2 linked regions of the Notamacropus eugenii genome follow. The protein of the gene in region 2 binds, or shares a complex with, the protein of the main gene of each other region. Links are inferred from orthologs where the notes say so. Each region holds a gene or a part of one and is shown on either strand. Other genes may lie near its edges.

Region 1 (10,849 bases), on a different chromosome or scaffold from region 2:
TATCATGTTTATACAGTTGTTTGCATGTTGCTTCCACCATTAGAAGGTAAGCTCCATGAGAGCAGGAATTGTTTTTTGCATTTCTTTGTATCTCCAGTGCATTGCACAGCCTCTGACACAGAGTAGGCACTTAATAAATGTTTACTGACTGACCCTTGGAATTTACTGAATTGGGCAGTGACACAGTCAGACTTAAGCTTTAAGAAAATGGCTCTCTCAGACATATGTTAAACTCAGCATGTCTAAAACTGAACTCATTACCTTCCCCACCGCACCCCAAAACCTTCTCCTCTTCCAAACTTACCTACTCTGTCAAAGACACAACTATTCTTCCAGTGTCTCAGATTCATAATGTAGGCAACTGCCTTTGCTCCTCGATTTTCTCTCACCTCATACATTCAATCATTTGCCAGACCTTACAGTTTCCACCTTCACAACCTCTCTCACATGCAATCCCTTCTCCCTACTGCAGTTGAGACAATCACCACTTCTCACCCTGATTTCTGAAATGGCCTTCTAACTGGGTTTCATGATTCAAGTTTCTACATACTCCAATCCACTTTACCCACTGCTGACACCAAGGTGATTTTCCTTAAACACAGATCTATGTGACTCCCCAACTCAACCAACTCTAGTGACTTCCTACTGGCTCTAGAATAAAATGTAAACTGTTTAGCTTTTAAAACCCTATACAACCTGACTCCAACATAGCTTTTCAGACTAATTTGACCTTATTCCTCATCTCAAATTCTGCAATCCAGCCAAAGGAGGCCTTTTTTCAGTTTCTCAAATACAATACTTCATTTCCCATCTCTATGCGTTTGGACAGGTCACTGGCCCCATGTCTGGAATTCACTTCCATCTTACTTGTTTCTTTAAGATACAGTTGATTTACCATCTTCCATGTGAAGTCTTTCCTGATCTCCCTCAACTCCTAGTATCCTCCCCCCCAAACTTTCTTGTATTTAATTACTTTGTGTATATGTATTTATGAACTTCTTATTTGTACTGCATATATTTTTAATGGAAAGAAAAGGATGAAGCAAGCATTTATTAAGTACTAACTCTGTGATAGGAACTGTGCTAAGCATTTTACAAATACTTCATTTTATCCTTGTAACAATCCTGTGAGGTAGGTATGATTATTATCCCCATCATACAGTAGGAAACAGAGGAAGACAGATCAAGTGACTTGCCTGGAATCACACAGCTAGTAAGAGTCTGAGGCAAGATCTGAATTCAGGTCTTCCAGACTGAGGCCCAGTGCTTTATCCACTGTACCTACCTGACTAATATATGCACTTGTCTTCTCCATTAGCATACAAGCTTACTGTGGAGATTGTTTCATTCTTTGTACCTGTATGCCCAGCACCTAGACAAGTACCTGGAATGCTGTACATGTTTAATGAATACCTGCTGATGGAAAATCCTAGGCAAGACTGTCTATCCCATTGTCTCAACTTATTCTCTTCTCTCCTTTCAACCCCTTTGTAATCTGGCTTTCTGATTTCCTCACAACTGGAATTGTTCTCTCCAAAGATACCAATTATCTCTTAATTGATAAACCTGATGGGTTTTTACCATCCTCATCCTTCTTGACCTCTATTGCAACATCTGACACCACTGAATACTCTTTCCTCCATCAATCACCATGCTTTTAATAAGTTCTACATGTCAGGCACTTACTACATTAACTGCTGGATCCTCCTATAAACTGTCTTCTTTGGGTTTTTGTGACACTGCTCTCACTTGCTTCTCTTATCTGACAGTTCATCTGTCTCCTTTGCTGTTTCACTGTCCACATCCTACTCCCTAAAAGTGTACCCCAAGGCTCTCTCCTGGGCCCTCTCTTCGGTCTATATTCTCTCACTTGGTGACCTGATCAGCTCCCATGGATTCAATTATCATTTCTATGCAGATGACTGCCGGAGCTATATTCAGTCCTAGTCTTTCTTCTGAGCTCCAGTCAAATACCAATTAAGTGCCCATTAGACATTTCCAAATGGGTTGTCCCACAGGCAGTTCAAGATGCCAAAATGTTACTCCAAGGGAAAATAAAACATCCAAAATCGAATGCATCTCCTCCTTTCCTAACCCTAACCCTATAAAAAACAAAACAAAAGATCTCTCTTCTTAACTTCTCTATTTTTACCCTTTCACTCAGCCAAGTTCAAAAACTCTCCATTATCCTTAATCCCCTACTTTCCCTTACCCCACACATCCCATTAGTTACCAAATCTTGTTTCTACCTCCACATGTTTAATATTGGTTCCCTTTTCTCTACTCGTACGATCTCCACTCTGGTTCAAATCCTTACCAGGTCTTGCCTGGATTACTGAAATAGCTTCATATTTAGCCTTGTCTCTCCTTTTTCAACTCTGTCCTCTACCAAGTTCCCAACAAGCCACAGTATCCTCAGGTACTATTACAGACAGGGGACATGTGTGTGTGTTAGTCCTTTGCTGCCAAAGAAGACCATGCCATCAGAGAAATGATGACATGACTTGCACTGGACTTTGTTTTGAGTGAGGGAGGGCTGCAACAACTAGCTGCCTCAGAGAGGGGACATACTATTTTCTGTAAGAGTAAGGTAGGTACTTTTAACCACTCCTACTTTGTTGTGGGTGAAATAACAAGGTTTTGGAGTCAGAAGATTTGGAAGTCAAATCCCAGCACTGTTACATACTATGAGACCCTGGACTCTTGTCTCACTTCACACTTGGAAGTCTCAGGTTCCTCATTTATAAAATAGTATTTGTTGAAATGCACTTCATAAAACTTAAAGCTGTTATTAATAGTATTTTTTTAAGCCTTCTTATGTGCAAAGTTATGTTATGTGCTAAAATACTAGTTATGTGCAAAGATACTATAATTCTAAAATTCATAAGTTAACTATGCAATTTACAATTTATTTTGTTCCCTTGATCCTCCCTGCTGCCATATTTTTCTGCCTTTAAAACAATTTAGTAAAGCTGGCTGAGAACTGAGAGAATAAATAAACACAAGACAATCCTTTTTTGCTAGTTGTGGTTAAAATACTGGGTCGGGAGTCAGGAAGATCTGAGTTCAGATCCAGCTTCAGACACTCACTGGCGGTGCAATTCTAGGCAAATGACTTAACTCGTTTGCCTCAGTTTCCTCATTTGTAAAATAGAGATAATAACTGCATCTGTCGGGACTGCGGTGAGTATCAAATGTGATAATATAAGTAAAGCATTTAGCACAGTGCCCGGCATACAGTAGGTGCTAAATAAATGTTACTACGATGTGCATTCTACGTATCAGGCACACAGTAAGCACTATATAAATGTCACCTATTATCATTAGTTGTTGACAGATCTGTAAGAAGTTTGGTTTTGATTACAGGCGATGTATCTGTGAAGCCCCATATTCTGGAAGGGTAATCTGTCCCTCACAACTGACTTTACACAACGAGGAAGGTGAATGTGTTTTCGAACCACTTAAACGGGGTATTCTTTCTCAACAGCGACTCTCACCTCCACAGATATATATCATCGGCTGCTGCTTTGGCGGCTGCACATCCTTCTGGGTATCCATCTTCAGTCCCTGAAAACCACAGACGGGAACGTTTTCTCCAATCCAAGAGGCCCCCAAACTGACGCAAGGGCCCGCGTTCCTCCTCACCCCCAAACCACGAGCATCACGGGAATGACAGCCCCGATCCGACATTCATGAGGCCGGCTCAGGTCCGCAGAAGGCGGTTTTCCCCAATCCTACCTTCTCGTCCGGGCGGACACTGCCCAGGGCAGCGACCCATCTCGGGCACACAAGGGCGACAACCCCGGGGTCCGCCGGAGAAAGGGCGCCCTCCTGACCGACCCCGGTATCCCGCCACCTGCCCCGCTTCCAGGCCCCGGGGTCCCCATCTCGAGTTCTTAAACTCGATCTAAAACGCTCTCAACCCTCAGGCCTGCGTACCTCACACACCGCAATCCGGTCCCCGATATCACAGCGCCGAGACCTACTTCCGGCGCTTCCTAATGACGCGTGGAGGCGCCCTCAAACAACCCCGCCCCTTCCGGCTCGTGCGTGGACGGGGGTAACTGATTGGCTGGTATCAGAAGAAGGCGGGGCGAGGGCTGGAAAGGGGATGGGCGGGACTGAGTTCAAACTGTCGGCGGTCCTTCGCTTGAGGGGCGGAGTTGGAGGCTTCTGGGTTGTTCTTAGCCCGTAAGTTCTTTCCTGCAGATGGTCAGGTCTCAAACCCGTTGATGAGTTAGGGGGATGTCTCCCCCAAGCTTGTGAAGACAGATGAGAACCCTCCCCTCTGCTGGGAAGCCCGAGAAGGCGGCGGAAGCGGGCGGAGCGCCTAGAGCTTGGTCGGCAGGGAGAAAGCCACAGTCACCCGCTGCATCCGGGGACAATGGCCGTCTTCTTGACTTTTCTCTGACTCAGGAAGATAAAGTGAGGCTGACAACTTCGTGCGACTCTGCCTCACTTCGATCCAGTTCACCCCAAGTCTCTTGATGTCTTGGGTCCTCTCGGAAACCGCGAAGGAAGAGCAAGTGTGTGAGACAGTGTTTGAACTCAAGTCACAGTAACTCCAGGTCCAGTGCTCCGTGCTAGGACAAGGGACACAAGTCATCGTAGTAACAGCAGACCACTTGGCTGATTCACCTCATCAGCAGACATTTATTGAAGCCCCTATACACTGAGAGGAGAGAAGGCTTGGAATAGCTTCTGTGGGCAATGGATAGAGCGACAATTAGGCAGGACTAAAAGGATTGTCATGCTTTTTTGAAATGAGATCATGTAATAATTTGTAGTAGACCCAATCGCTGACCTCTTTTAGCTTTGTTAGTAGGGCATGAGTGGAAACAGAAGGGGCCGATGGAATAGAGTAAACGTGGTTAATTCTAGGGTTCAGATTGGGAAGGGAGGAAAATAAGTTTAGAGCAGAGGAGATAGCTTTGGAACATACAGAGAGATGAAAGGAAGGTATAAAGAGAGATGGAATGAGAGGAGTTTACGATTTTGGAAGTAGAGCACTTGAAGGGGAGGGCAAGACCAAGGATGTGATCATCTCTCTGTGCAGCTGGGGTAGAGGGGAGGAGTAGGTCATGGAAACTGAAGGGATTGAGGAATTGGGAGTTTAAGATGTTTGAGAGGATAGTATGTGTATGTTGAAGTGCCTTAGTATAAGGGCAGGAGTTGAGAAAGATAAACATACTATGACCCAACTACTGTATCCTTTGAGAAAGGAAGAAGATGTTTTGGGAACCAGTCCAGATTGGGTGATAAATTTGAATGGAGTGAACCTAAGAGGAGGAGAGGTTGCTGAAAGGAGACAAAGGCAATGGGTGGAAGTAGCAATGAGGAAATAGGAATAGTCTGACTCCCCTTCTAGGGCTAACATATCTGATGAATGAGAGAAAGAACAAAGACAGGTTATTTGTCCTTTGTGGTTTTTTTCTAAATACATCATGGGGTAATGTCTTGACTTGAGCTTGAATTGGATTTAAGTGAGGCAGTCAGCCTCACTCTCCTGGATTCATCAAAATCCAGTGGTAAGACAAAAGTCAGGATGATTGGTGATGGCCTGGGATGCAGTGGATGACCTTGGCATCTTCAATGCCTCATCAAGCTTGAAGCGCTCCACAGTGCCTGCTTCAGCCACCTTCATGGCTGTTGGAACAAATTGTTGTCATCCACCTATTTTGCCAGGGGAAGTCTTCACATGCTTGGGATTGACTCCCTCCCCCCAATGGGTTTGAGGCCTGTTGGTTTTCCTCAACCAAGATGATTTTACTGAGGTGTGGTCAGTGGGCATGCTTCAGCTTCTTGGAGCCACAGGTGTGAATTGAGTACCAAGCAGACACCAAATGAACAGCCCTGAAAAAGGTGGGGTAGGTTAGAAGTACATGAGGATGAGAGCATATGAAGGGGAGATAGGGAAGGCTGTGGCTTACACTTAGGCAGCCAAGAAAAGGTAGGGTGTTTGTTAGTAAAAAGGATTCATTCTGGGTAGAGGGTACTAGCAACACTCTGAAAACTCAGCATTTGAGGTAGGTGATGTCATTCTCTACCTAGGCTCCACTTTGAGGTATAGGAGTGGGAAGAGGAAAAAGAAGACTCTTAGTAGCTTGGTTTTTCTAGTTTGGGGAGGTGGGAGATAGGGAGGAGAACTCAAGCAGGCTACTCCTGCTATGCCCTCAATCTAAATCAATACTGCTCTTATTAAACTTCTCTGTCTTGCTGATAAGGTTTTAATTTAGAACTTGATAAATTTGAAAAAAGAACAGCCCTGAACTTTCACACACGTTCTGGTGCTCTGAAGCATCTGTTTTTATTTCAGACAGATTCATAAAATAGTTTCCCCATAGACAGGTATTATTGAGGACTGTGATAGAGCCAGTTTTTTAAGCACCTGCCATGTGCCAAGTGCTATGTTAAGCTCTAGGGTTACAAAGAAAAGCCAAAACAAACAAACAAATCAGGAGCTAAATCTAATGAAGGAGATACCATGAACACAACTGTATACAAATAAGTTATAGAGAGGATATCTTAGAGATTATTTCAGAGGCAAGGTGCTAGGATTAAAAAGAACTGGGAAAAGCTGTTTTTGACAGAAGATGGGGCTTCAGCTGAGACTTGAAGCTCAGAGGTGGAGATGAGAGAGAAAGTGCCAGGCTTGGGAGAGCCATATGAATATTCCCAGTCAGGGGATGGGGTGTCATGTGCCTAGAACTGCCAGGAGGCCATTGTCACTAGATCTCAGAGTACTCAGAGCGGAATAAGGTGTAAAAAGACTGGAAAGGTAGGAAGGGACCAGATTAAGAAGTGCTTTAAAAGCCAAACAGATTTTGGTATTTGATCCTGAAGATACTAGCAAATCAGTAGAGTTGATGAATAAAGGGGTGACCTGTGCTTCAGAAAGATGAATTTGACATCTGAGTGGAGGATAGACTGAAGTGCAGAAAGACTTGATGCAAGGAGACCAACCAGCAGATTATTGCAATAGTTCGGGCATGAGTTGATGAAAACCTGCTTCTGGGTGGTGGGACTGTCAGGAGAAAAGGGGGTATGTATGAGAGATGTTGCAAAGGTCAACATAATAGAACTTAACAACCGATTGGCTATGGGAGAGAATGAAGAAGAGACATGGGTTAGGAGACTTGGGTGACTGGGAGGATGTTAGTGCCTTCAATAATAATAAAACCTTTTTCAGGGCTGCTTATCCACCTTTGGTGTCTATCTGGCACTCAACTTACACCTGTGGCTCCAAGAAGCTGAAGCATGCCCACTGATCACACCTGGGGAAAACAATCTTGTCATCCTGACTTTCGTCTTGCTGCTGGATTTTGATGAATCTGAGAGAGAGAGTGAGGCCAAATGCCTCACTTAAATCCAATTCAAGCTCAAGTCAAGACATCACCCATGATGTCATTGGTTCTCTTTGAAGACATAGACCAAACAATAACAATAGAGAAATTAGGAAGAGGGAATAGGTTAGTTTTTATTTTTGTTTTGGTTTGGGGGGTTTTTTTTGGTTGGGGGAGGAGCAGAGATAATGAGTTTGCTTTAGACATGTTAAGTTTAAGAAGTCTATGGAATATTCAATTTAAGACATCAAATAGACATTGGAGAAGAGACCAGGAGACAGGATAGGGCTGAACAGATAAATCTGAGAATCATCTGCGTAGAGATGATAATTGAATCTAAGGGAGCTGATGAAATTATCAAGTGAAATAGTTCAGAGGGAAAAGAGGGCTTAGGACAGAGCCTTGGGGGAGATCCTACAGTTAGTGGTCATAACCTGGATGAAGATCCAACAAATGAGACTGAAAAGAGGTCCATCAGTTAGAATGAAAACAAGAAGAGACAGCAGCATGAAAACCCAGAGAATATAGGTCCAGAATGAAAAATGAAAGAGGCTATATATAGCAAAAGGGTAGGAGATGCCTCACATAGCCCTAATAGGAAGGAGAAAAAACACCCCAGGATCCTGAGATTAAAGGGGATTTTAGTTTTAGATCTGGAAATAACCTAAGAAAGCATTTGTTCCAACCCCACCCTTTAGGACCAGAGGATGAAAAAGTAGGATGTAGAGGGATCTTTAAGGTCATGTAGTACAAATCCCTCATTTTGTAGTTGAGGAAGCTGTGGCTCAGAAATATGAATTCAGTCAAGGGTGAATAGGAGATAGTAGCAAAGCCAGATTTTGAAGCCAGACTAACTCAAAATCCAGCACTCTTTCCACTGAACCCTGAGTCTTAGAGTAGTGGTTTGCTCTAAGTCTTATGGGTTCTAATAATTGGCAGAATTAGGACTTGAATCCAGAACTTGTGACTCCAAATTAGGGTCCTTTTCATGATCTATTGCTGTCTCATCTATACCATACTGCAAAAACTTATTGAGAACCTCTGGTGTACAAGAAACTGTGTTAGGTATTGGGTATATGAGGCATTAAATTCCTGTTGGGGAGACAAAACACATACACACAAAAAGATAAGTAAGGTATCATACAGTGAGTACCAAACGAATGAATAGACAAAACATGCTATGGGAGATCCCATGTGGGAAAGAGTAGAAAAGGAAGGTACTGTGTGGGGTGAAGGCATAACGATGGGGGTGAGGAACAGTAGGGATGGATACATTAAAAACTGATATTCAGTGAAAATAAATGCACATAATTATCTTTCTAAACATATTCTTTAAACGAAGATGTGAGAAGCTGAAAGAGGAATAACGAACTCCCACACCTTAGCTTGTTCCTAGCTTCTTGATTTGTGGCCACTAGCACAAGACTGGGATGGGGAAAGACAATGATCGGGGATAGGGGGGTAGTTGGGGGGGTGTAGTTCCCATTCTATATTCCTCCCCAAAACGGTCCCTAACGTCTGGAGCGGGGCAGGTGCCTGGGACAGCTAGAGGGCAGCGTAGAAGAGGAGAGTGGGACAGGACGGGGGCAGGGCAAGGCAAGGCAAGGCAGGGGCGAGAAAGGGAAGGACAAAAAGAGGGAAGGGGAGGAGGAGGGAAGGGAAGAGAAAGAAGGACAGGGGAGGGGGAGGGGCCGCAGCTAGCGGTTATTCAGGGCGGGGAGTTCAAACCCAAGAGAGGGAAAGCAGTGGCGGCCTCACGCTACCTGGGATTGGGGGTTGCCATAGCCAGAGCATCCCTGGGGCCGAAGCCGGTGGCTCTGCCCCTTCCACACCCTTCCCCACCACTCCCCTTTCCCCGCCCCCTTCCCCCTTTCCCTCTTGCCTCCCTCCCAAGCTCAGCAGCTTCAGCTGCTGCCATTCATCCATCCCAGAGGAGGCAGGAGGAGTCTGCCCTGGGCTTTGTAGTCTCCAGTTGGACGGGGGTGGGGGACCCCAGGTTGTTGGGACTGCTGCTGCTGCAGGGGAGCAGAATTCCTGGGAGTCCCCCCTCCCCGCCCCCAGTTTGTTTTCCAGGTGCTGGAAAAGGGTGAGATGCGTTGAAGTTACCTGCTGCCTCCTGCCTCCTCTTTATCTCCCTCTACTGCAGGTGACTATACCCTCATAATTGTGTGTATCTCTCTGCCTCCCTGGCTTTCAGGGTCCTGAGGAAAAAAAAAACAACTAATTCGTCTTAGTGGCTGGAAATCCAACCTTAACTTTCCAAAATGGATGGGGAGGGACAGGAGGGAGTAAAATTAATTAAAGTGAGGAAAACTAGTGATGATTTAGGTGAAGCTAGGTTATCACCTATCCCCACCAACACATACCTTTCTCCAAGGGCAAGGAATTTATAGAACTCTGGCACCCCTCCTCCTCTTGAGAAACCTAATTAAGGAGTTTATTCATAACATTCAGCAGTGTATCGAGGGAAAAGAAGATTAAGATTTCTGTTGTATGAAAGGGTGAAGAACATTCCAAAATATTTTGTTTTTAAATGTAGTGATCATAGGTTCATAAATTTAGAGTTGCATCACAGCATTTATATTCCACACCCTTCAGATTTTAGTACTTGAGAGGCTTATGATTATACTAAGCATAGTGTCTGGCTCATAGTAAGCATTCTTATTTACTGTTTCGCACTTCATCTCAAAGGTTTTTTTTTCTCTAATTTGATCACGGTGATGTTGAGTCTTCTTCTGCTCCACTCCATCCCATGATCCCATTGATTGTTCAGAGAACAGGATACTTGTTTATGGTTTAATTAGATTTTTCTGCATTTGCAAAATTAATATAGTCTAGAGATTTCAAAGTTTATCTGATGGTAGGTATCCTAGTTTTACAAATAGAGGAAATGTGGTTTCAGGATAGTTAAACTATTTCTTTCACTTCAATTAAAGTATCTACTAAACACCTCCTTACAGTAGAAGGCTGTGATTTGTTTTTTTGTTTTTTCCTTTACTGAGGGGGGTCTGGATAATTATTGTAGTAATATCAACTGATTTATCAGGAACCTGTTATTACCTAAATGTATAATTTTTTAACCTTCAGTAGTTTATAGCTGGAGGGACTTCTGAGGTCATCTCCAAATAATATCAAGGTGATTATTCCAAGAAAATAATATTTTCAAATTATGTGCAGAGGGATGAAATTAATACATTAAAATCAAATTGAGAAGTAAAAAGAAAGTGTTAGGTGAGAGTGTAAACACTACAGGGGGCGGACCCTTCCCGTTTTTCGGGTTCATCAATCCCTCTGATAGTCTGGTGAAGCCTATGAAGCCCTAAGAAAAAAAGAGTTTAGACCTCCTCGAACTTGGGTAGTTTTCAGGTTTTGTGGAAATCCCACCCTCCTCTTAATATTTTGTTAATCTTTGCTCCTTGTTTCTGTTTGTACATTTTCCTCTCTGTAAAAAGAAATGGAATTCAGTATAGTCTTTTGTCTCATTGCTTTTCAATTCTGGGGTCTCA
Region 2 (10,435 bases):
AAGGTCCAAGAGGAGAGAAGAATCAGAAATGCCAAGAGGAAAAAAGACAGAAAGGCATATTCATAAGGCAATTCCTCATCTATAAAACAGTGACAAAAATACCCACATACCTCCTATACAGAGTTATCAGCAGAATTAAATGAGAAAAAATATGCTTTGCTAACATTAGAATCCTATGTAAATGTCATATTTTACTACTTCTAATGCTCTGTTAAACAGAAATAGTGACATCAGGAACCTTTAGATTGTTTTTAATGGAATTGCCTCTTAATGTCTCTATATTGCAAATTTTTACTTTGGGTTCAAACCTCACATATTGCCAAGTCCAATTCTAGCAGTATGATATCACTCACATTTTTCTCCTTTTCACCTACAAGGCTACCACTAACTTAAGTATTTATTTTACTTCTTACCTTGACTACTGCAAAAGTCTGCTAATTAGTCCACCTGAGCCAAGTGTGTCCCCTCTCCAGTCAATCCTCCACAAAGTTGCCAAAGAGTCACTTTTAAAGAACTGATCTGACCATGTCACTTCCTGACACAATAAACTCCAGTGGTTCCTTATTAAGTAAAGTATCAAACTTGTTTGTTGGACACTTAAAAGTTCTTCACAACCTGGCTCCAAACCACCTCTCCAGATTTATTATACATTTTACATTTTCACACATTTTATGAGCCAGCTAAAGTGGCTTCCTTGTCCTCCTTACAGATCACATTCATCTCCTTTGTACAGGTTACTGCCCATGCCTGGAATGCTCTTCTTAGTGTCTTTCAGTCCATCCCAAATGCTACTTCCTAGTCAATGACTTTACTGAACCTCCTCAACCTGCTCCTGAATACCTACTGTCCCTGAAATTGTCTTGCATTTGTTGTATATGCTTATACATGTACATGTTGTCTCCACCTAAAGTATACAGGCTCCTCAAGGACAAGTTTCATGTATGTCTTTGTTTCCCTCGCACTTAAAACAGTGCATGGCATATTGGAGACACTTAATAAACATTTGTTGATTAGCTAGCTGCTATCAATGATCAATTTAAAGTTGGAAGGGATTTTGCAGACCATCTACAGTCCAATTCTCTCATTTCACAGAAGAGAAACCTGTGGCCCTGAGAAGGGAAGAGACTTGCCCAAATTCACAAAAGTAAAGAGTAGCAAAGCCAGGATCCAAATCCAGATTCTGATTCCAAATTCAGCAAACGTTCCCCTGTGCCATGCTGCTATTCAAACAATCTTCTACAGATTTTTTTTACTTTTAAAATAGTTACACTTTCAACAAATACAAACAAAACATGGAATAAATTTCTAGATAAAATCATCAAATCCAAACATTATGATTGAAAAACAACAACATAAAAAATTTTAATAACAAAAATCAACTCATTCTTTGTCCTTTTTATTCACCTGTATATTTATAAAAAGTTAAGTGGTTTTTTTTATTCTGCTTTAGTCAACATATTGGTTGCTTTTCTTATTTTTTGACCATGTCTTTCATTACTTCATATATCTTTCCATATTTCTTTGCTGTTCTTTCTACATGCCAGTTAGTCTCCCATACCTAAAATGCAAAACCTCCCCACCTCCCGACCTCTTAGAAGGCCTCGTTTCCTTCAAGTTCAAGCTCAAGTTCTTCCTATACAGGACTTTTCCTTATTCCTGATTTACATCCCCACCCAAAAAAGTCAAATTATTCTGTATGGATTTACTTATATATGTACATGTTGTTTCTTCCTAATAGAATAGAAGCTACTTGAAAACATGGACTGTCTAATTTCTATCCCAGAACCTAAGACAGTACTAACACATATTAAGCACTTAAGAAATGCTTGTTGAAGAAGGCAATAAGGAGAGAAGGGGAGTTCATACAGACATTTGGTCACATGGTTAAGACATCAATTTCTTAATGGTACATTTGTTGGGATCTGCTTATATTCCAATATTCTTATAGGTAATATGCAGTATTTGGGGAGTCTTTTTCGCTACTATAGCAAATTCAGCTATATACGTAGGGAACAATTTAGAATAACATTTAAAACCTTTAACAGTATTAATAACTAGAGTTAAATCATCCTAAAAGTCCAAAATGAGTCCCAGAGTTCAATTCCAAGAATACTAAAATAAACATTTATTAAGTACCTGCTATGTACAAAAGCAGTGTGGCACCATGGATACAGGACCATCTTTCAAGTCATGAAGGCCTAGGTTCAAGTCTATACTTTGACAACCCATGGTCATGGAATTTCTCACTGCCTCAGGCAACTTCCTATACATATATATTACAGAAGATTTGTTGATCTGTGTCAGTGCAGGAAACTTCCACAACAAGTATTTCCCTACATCAATAAATTCACAGCTTCCAGACCAAAACAATATCAAACCACAGATCAAGTTAGGAGATTTAAAATCTCTTCCTTGAAGGAAGCTAAGATAATTTCTTCCCTGAAGGAGTCTAATGTTTAGTAGTTAAACAGAACCACTTCAAACTTCTGGCAGAATCAATATAATAATTAAAGACATCATCCTATGTCTAAAATTTTTGCGAAGATATATTTTCAAATGACATGACTGAAGAAAATATTTGGATTGTTCATCTATAAAACTTTGCAAATTATATTTCAGCATTTTCTATTCATTACAGAAATTTTTAAATGTAAGCAAACTTACCTCTGTAACATTGAGGCAAGTTGTACAATAATATGTTCCTTCATCAGTAACTCCCCAGGAAACAGCAGCACACTGCGTACAGGGTTCATTAAAGTCTCCCTGTAAAGGAAGAAAAATATGCATTCAATATATTTAACTCAAATATAAATCTAGACAGTGCATTTTCCATTACTGTATACTTCATTTAGCTACTCGGAGAGGTGTAGCTAAGTAGGAGGACAGGAACTAGAGGCCCTGACAAAGAAAGGGGGACTGAGAGGGTAGCAGATTGGAGAAGATGATCTTCGTGGTCCTGTCCTAAGAGATGCCACCAAAAATTCAGCATGAGGTGTGAACCAAAGAGGTTCGTTTTAGAGATATCAGGAAAAACTTCCTAAAAACTAGAGGTATACCAAAAAAGTGAGATGAGTTGCACCTTGATAATTTGTGTTTCCCCCACTTGGGAGCTGAATTCTGCAGGCAGAGGTTGGACCACTTGTTTGGTATATCCCTGCCCATATTCCTTTTATGTATGGATTGAACTGCATAGCTGCTAGGGTCCCTTCTATTCCCAAATTCTGTGATTTTGTGAAATTATCAGGTATGGGACAGATGGTCTGAAAAGTGAGGTCTTCTCTTTCAGGTGACTCACAGGACCCTGATAATGGAGTTACTGAAGAAAACCAGAATGCAAACTTTGACATAAAATGGGATATAAACCTCTTACACCGCAATAAGCTCAAAATGGATACATGACCCGATTAAAGGTTACACTACTAAAAAAGAGAATAATAAGGTGTGGCTGGGGAAAGAATTCTCAACTAAAGAACAGAGGTGATCCAAAAAAAAGAAAAAACATAATTCCAATGACACAAAGTTGGAAAGCTTTGACAATAACGAAATGAATCAATCAATAAACATTTATTAAGAGCCTACTGTGTGGAACTGCCACGTAGGATACAAAAAGAGACCACACACACACACACGCCCCTCATCTCCACGCTCCTCTCAATTCCAACCTGACTTAGTTATCTAAGTACGGCCATTTTCCTCCAGCAGAACCTAAGTTATTTAAGGGAAGGCTCCGTCCCACCCGGTGTTTGATCTCCCCTCCCCCATCCCGCTTCCTCCAGAGGCCAGCACATACTTGGGAACTCCTCAGGGGCTTAAACAAGCGTCTGTGGAATTCACGTGTGCGCACACTCCTAACGCTACATAACAACGGACGGTACCTCTTTAAACGAACACACACGTGCACTCCCGCGCACACACCCCGTCACATCACCTAACGGTCGGTACCTCTTCAAACACGCGCACACCCCCCCCCCCCACACACACACGCACACACACACGTACGCTCCCGTGTACACACACCCTCACACCCACACCCATTCACACTCCAGGCCCTCACTGCTCCCGGGGGCCTTGACCAAGCCCTCCCGGCCGGGCCCCGAGTCCTCACCGCCTCCTCAAACTCCATAGCGGAGCCCAGGTCTTCCGTTACTCAGAGAATGCACGTTCGCGCCGCGGAGGTTCCCGGAAGTCCTCAGGGGCACTCTTCCGGGGCGGAAACCACCGGCAGGCACTTTCGGTTCCGGGGCAGCTGCGTTCCTCCACGTCCCTCCCGGCGCAGCCGGATGAGGAGCGCTCGGGAATGGGGCAGCCCCGGCTCGGGAGCCGCCGCTCGCGTTTCCGCCGAGCTTCGGTTTCCAAGTCAGCCGGCTGGCCGCAGCCCAGGCAGGTCGGGATGCCGGCGCCTTCCTCCTGCGGCCACCCCCGGTAGCTGGCTCTTTTCCTGCTGTCTCTCCCGTTAAACCGTAAGTCCGAGGGCGGAGACTGTCTTTTCCCTTTCTTTTTTTTTGGTGTCCTTAGCGCTTAGCAGAGTGAAAGAGCATGGGTGCTTTATAAATGCTAATTGACCGATGGACTCTAATCAGAAGAACTTGAATGGGCATTCCACCCCATTCTGCAGGTACTTCTTGAGAGCGTGCCGTGTGCCGATCATTGTGCCAGGTGGTGGAGATACAGAGACAAACCCACACCCCTTTGTCACCGGGAGCTCACCAGGCGTTGGGTGAAACGTCTAGACAGAGGCCTGGCTCTGCAGTAAAGGAGACCAGACTTGTGGTCTGCCTCAGCCCTTTCGGAAGCTCGGTAACCAGGGCAAGTCGAGTCAAACCAAGTCAGCCAGCCTGCATCAAACTGTGCCCACGCCCTGGAGATTCAAAGAAAGGCAAAAAACGGTGCCTGCTCTCAGGGAGCTCACGGGCTTACCAAAAAGATCATAGTGGGAAAATATATACAGGATAAATGGGAGATGATCCCAAAGGGAAGGCACTACTAGACTTGGGGGGATCTGGAAAGATCTCCTGCAGTGAGACTTTAGCTGAGACTTCTGAGGGTCTTCCCCTCCCAGTTTTTGATCGATTGATTGATTAATTGATTGATTAAAGGGGCCTTGGCTGACTTCTTAAATAGGCCCAATCACTGTTTCGTCAAAGTGAGAACTCTCTCTCACTACATCCTGAGCCATGGCCAGTTGTCCTGATCTGTATCTGGTCACTGAACCCAGATGACTCTGGAGAAGAAAGTGAGGCTGGTAACTTTGCACAACCTTCCCCCACTCAAATCCGGTTCAGTTGCAAGTCATGGCATTATCTTCCTCATGTCATGGTCCTCTTCCTGAATGAAGGACAATCCACAACCACAGCTGAGACTTAAAGGAATCCAGAGAAGCCAAGGGGGTGAATGTGAGGAGGGGGAAGGTTCTAGACATGGAGGACAGCTAATCAAAATGTGAAGACATGAGGTATAGGGCACACTCCATCCAGGAACAGCAAAGAGACAGTGTCATTGAAACATGGAGCATGTAGAGGGGTGTAAGGTATAAGAAGACTAGGTAAGTAGAAGAGACAGATTATGAAGGGGCTTTAAAAAGCCAAACAGAGGATTTTATATTTGATCCTGGAGGTAATAAGGAGTCTGTTGAATGGAGGGGAATAGGAGGGAGGTTGGTGACTTGATCAGACTTATGCTTTAGGAAGATCACTTTGGTAGCTGACTGGAGGCTGGACTATATGTAGTGAGGTGAAATTTGCAGCAGGAGAACCTTCACCAGGGTGGTGGCAGTGTCACAGGAAAAAACAGAGTTACAACATGGTAGCCCAAAATACTGATATCTTAGGCTATATTGAAAGGTTTAGGATCCGGGACTGAGAAGATGACAATTTCTCATGTCTTCTGTCCTAATCAGACCACATCCAGAGTACCTGTTAAAATTCTGGTAAATGCATTTTAAACTGGAAGGCAATTGATTTGAAATGGTTCACAAGACCATGAGAAAGTTAGATACTGTGTCACGGGAGGATAAAAGATCCTTTAAAGGAATTGAGAAAGTTTAATATGAAGAGAATATTGGGGACATGTTCATTTCCTTCCAGTGTTTGAAGGGCAATTGTGGGGGGTGACAGGGAAGGATTGCAATTAGACATGTTCTCCTTGGCCTCAGTGCCAGCACTGGGACTAGATTTCAGGATGATGTAGGAGAAGGGAGGAAAGCAGTATGGGCAATGATAAGAAACAAGGCGCACAAGAGGTAACAAAGTTTCAGAAAACAAAGCATGTTAATGTAGGTACTTTAAAATGACTTGAGGGGGAGGAGCCAAGATGGTGGAGTAGAAAGACACACATATGCTAGCTCCGAACCCACAGCCCATAAAATATCTGTAAAGAAGAACTCCCAACAAATTCTGGAGCAGCAGAAGCCACAGAACAATGGCGTGGACAAGATTTCTGTTCCAGAGAGCCCTGAAAACCTGACGCAAAAGGTCCATTCATGCCCCAGACCAGAGCAGAGCTCAGCCCTGCCTCAGCCTCGTGGTGCCCAGAGGAGCAGATCTGAGCAGGCTTCAGGGACAGAATCTCCAGCGCCAAGCAAGTCCCTCCACCCACAGGTGACAAGGGTCGGTGAGAAAGTCTTTTTGGGTGGCGGACGGGAGTGGGGTGTCCCCGTGGCTCGGGCCCCCCTTGGGAGGCAGCAGCGGAGGTGGCGGGCGGACAGGGGCTTCCCAAGCAGGCAGGAACTCGGATCCATTGTTGAAGGTCTCCCCATAAACCCCCTGAGGGAACTGAGCCTGTGAGGTGGCCCTGCCCCAACCTGAGCAGCTGAACTTAATCTCACATTGAATAACAGCCCTGCCCCCACCCAAAGCCCTGAGGCTGGGAAGCAGCATTTGAATCTCATACCCCAAGCACTGGCTGGGTGGATCTGGAGGCAAAGTGGGTGTGGAGAGGACACTCAGAAGTCAAGTCACTGGCTGGGAAAATCCCCAGAAAAGGGAAAAAAAATAAGACTATAGAAGGTTACTTTCTTGGTGAACAGATAATTCCTCCCTTCCTTTCTGATGAGGAAGAACAATGCTTACCATCAGGGAAAGACACAGAAGTCAAGGCTTCTGTATCCCACACATCCAAAATAAATATACCATGGGTGCAGGCCATGGAAGAACTCAAAAAGGTTTTTGAAAATCAAGTAAAAGAGGTGGAGGAAAAACTGGGAAGAGAAATGAGAGAGATGAAAGAAAAGTATGAGAAGCAGGTCAGCACCTTGCTAAAGGAGACCCAAAAAAATGCTGAAGAAAATAACACCTTGAAAAATAGGCTAACTCAATTGGCAAAAGAGGTTCAAAAAGCCAATGAGGAGAAGAATGCTTTCAAAAGCAGAATTAACCAAATGGAAAAGGAGGTTCAAAAGCTCGCTGAAGAAAATAGTTCTTTCAAAATTGGAATGGAACAGATGGAGGCTAATGACTTTGTGAGAAAGCAAGAAATCACAAAACAAAACCAAAAGAATGAAAAAATGGAAGATAATGTGAAATATCTCATTGGAAAAACAACTGACCTGGAAAATAGATCCAGGAGAGACAGTTTAAAAATTATGGGCCTACCTGAAAGCCATGATCAAAAAAAGAGCCTAGACATCATCTTTCATGAAATTATCAAGGAAAACTGCCCTGATATTCTAGAACCAGAGGGCAAAATAAGTATTTAAGGAATCCACAGACCACCGCCTGAAAGAGATCCAAAAAGAGAAACTCCTAGGAACATTGTGGCCAAATTCCAGAGTTCCCTGGTCAAGGAGAAAATATTGCAAGCAGCTAGAAAGAAACAATTCAAGTATTGTGGAAATACAATCAGGATAACACAAGATCTAGCAGCTTCTACATTAAGGGATCGAAGGGCGTGGAATAGGATGTTCCAGAAGTCAAAAGAACTAGGACTAAAACCAAGAACCACCTACCCAGCAAAACTGAGTATAATACTTCAGGGGAAAAGATGGTCTTTCAACGAAATTGGGGACTTTCAAGCATTCTTGATGAAAAGACCAGAGATGAAAAGAAAATTTGACCTTCAAGCACAAGAATGAAGAGAAATATGAAAAGGTAAACAGCAAAGAGAAGTCATAAGGGACTTTACTAAAGCTGAACTGTTTACATTCCTACATGGAAAGAAAATATTTGTAACTCTTGAAACTTTTCAGTATCTGGGAAGTTGGTGGGATTACACACACACACACACACACACACACACACACACACACAGAGACAGAGAACACAGAGTGAGTTGAATAGGATGGGATCATATCTTAAAAAAATGAAATTAAGCAGTGAGAGAGAAATATATCGGGAGGAGAAATGGAGAAATGGAATGGGGCAAATTATCTCTCATGAAAGAAGCAAGCAAAAGACTTTAGTGGAGGGAAAAAGAAAGGAGGTGAGAGAAAAACATGAAGTTTACTCTCATCACATTCGACTAAAGGAAGGAATAAAATGCACACTCATTTTGGTATGAAAACCTATCTTACAATACAGGAAAGTGGGGGAGAAGGGGATCAGCAGGGTGGGGGGGATGATGGAAGGGAGGGTAATGGGAGGAGGGAGCAATTAGAAGTCAACACTCTTGGGGAGGGACAGGATCAAAAGAGAGAATAGAAGAAATGGGGGGCAGGATAGGATGGAGGGAAATATAGTTAGTCTTACACAACATGACTATTATGGAAGTCATTTGCAAAACTACACAGATATGGCCTATAATGAATTGCTTGCCTTCCCAAAGAGAATGGGTGGGGAGGAAGGGATGAAGAGAAGTTGGAACTCACAGTTTTAGGATCAACTGTCGAGTACTGTTTGCACTACTAGGAAATAAGAAATACAGGTAAAAGGGTATAGAAAGTTATCTGGCCCTACAGGACAAAAGAGAAGATGGGGACAAGGGGAGGGAGGGATGATAGAAGAGAGGGCAGATTGGTGATAGGGGCAATTAGAATTTTCAGTGTTTTGGGGTGGGCGGAGGGGATAAATGGGGAGAAAATTTGGAACCCAAAATTTTGTGAAAAATGAATGTTAAAAGTTAAATAAATTAAATTAAAAAAAAAAGTAAAATGACTTGAGGCTTAACTAACACTCAACTCACAGTTCAGCACAAATTTGTGAGTCGTATTTCCAAGGGAAAGCACTGTCATCAAATGCCATTGTGGTCATTTAATCTGGCTACACTTTACATTAATTCTTCATTTTAGAATTCTTTCTTTAATATAAAAGACAGATACTTAATTTATTATTATTTAATTAATGGGAATTGTGCATTACAAGATCATTAGGTAAAATGCAGGGTAGAAACCTATTATTAACTTCAAAGCTTTCTGGAGAACTATTAAATGCTAGCAGATATATTCTAGGGAGCAGTCAACATTCTTGACACTGAAGTCTTTTTTTGTTTGTTTGGTTGGTTGGTTTTGGTTTTGTTTTCTGATTCTCCTTTTGTCTGCCCTCAGGAATTTCCACTGGAAAATGTCTGTCTGGGGAGAAGAGCAGGATGTGGGACTCATACTTTCCTTACACCACCCTCAGGATGGAATCTTTCATCTTTTGATTCCTGATTTACCAGTCGTGCAACCTTTGCTAGAAGGAAATTGGCAAATCCCAAAGAGTTGAAGGAAAGATTTTTGTTTTGCTTTAATTAAGGTTGTATAGAGTGTACATTATATAACCAGAACTCATGGTTTATTTGCTAGTCCTGTTTCATACATTCATTTTTTTCAACAAATCATTATTGAACACTTAATATTTATAAAGCCTTCCCTCTATAACTAGGTATAGGGAGTGATACAAAGACACATAATATTAAGTACATAATATATTTCTGTAGGTGTTCCCTTACAATAATCTAATGAGGATAATTGCAAGCCTTATCATTCCCATTTTAGAAATGATGAAAATAAGAATTAGAGCAGTTAACTCAAGATGACACAATGAATATTATTTGTGATTGAGATTTGAATCCAGGACTTCTGATTCCAAACCTGGTATTCTTTCTACTGCACCATATTGCTACCCAACAAAATTGTAGGATCTACCTTTAAGGAACTTACTGGCTAGGAGGGGAGTTAAACCATGAACATAAGTAACTATAAAAGGGATTTCTTAACTTTTATAAAAGTAATGTTTAACATCATCTTCCATTTTTTCATTCTTTTGGTTTTGTTTTGTGATTTCTTGGTTTCTCATAAAGTCATTAGCTTCCCTCTGTTCCATTCTAATTTTTAAAGTACTATTTTTTTCAGTGAGCTTTTGAACCTCCTTTTCCATTTGGCTAATCCTGCTTTTTAAAGCATTCTTCTCCTCATTGACTTTTTGAACCTCTTTTGCCAATTGAGTTAGCCTATTTTTAAAGGTGTTATTTTCTTCAGCATTTTTTTGGGTCTCCTTTAGCAAGCTGTTGACTCACTTTTCAT

Evidence for each region. Proteins that work in one complex are often made in the same cells at the same time.
Region 1: TAF1B (region 2) and POLR2K share a complex: the UniProt entries of both Homo sapiens proteins name them as parts of the pol I pre-initiation complex. The link is inferred for Notamacropus eugenii from reciprocal best matches to the Homo sapiens genes TAF1B and POLR2K.

Annotation. Positions count from the first base shown.
Region 1 is NC_092875.1:151,530,185-151,541,033, forward strand, and holds the start of POLR2K (DNA-directed RNA polymerases I, II, and III subunit RPABC4), read right to left. Parts: upstream 4,044-10,849; 5' UTR 3,940-4,043; intron 3,568-3,939; 5' UTR 3,559-3,567; coding exon 3,498-3,558; intron 1-3,497. UniProt on the Homo sapiens protein: DNA-dependent RNA polymerase catalyzes the transcription of DNA into RNA using the four ribonucleoside triphosphates as substrates.
Region 2 is NC_092872.1:549,075,124-549,085,558, forward strand, and holds the start of TAF1B (TATA box-binding protein-associated factor RNA polymerase I subunit B), read right to left. Parts: upstream 4,206-10,435; 5' UTR 4,124-4,205; coding exon 4,106-4,123; intron 2,764-4,105; coding exon 2,665-2,763; intron 1-2,664. UniProt on the Homo sapiens protein: Component of RNA polymerase I core factor complex that acts as a GTF2B/TFIIB-like factor and plays a key role in multiple steps during transcription initiation such as pre-initiation complex (PIC) assembly and postpolymerase recruitment events in polymerase I (Pol I) transcription.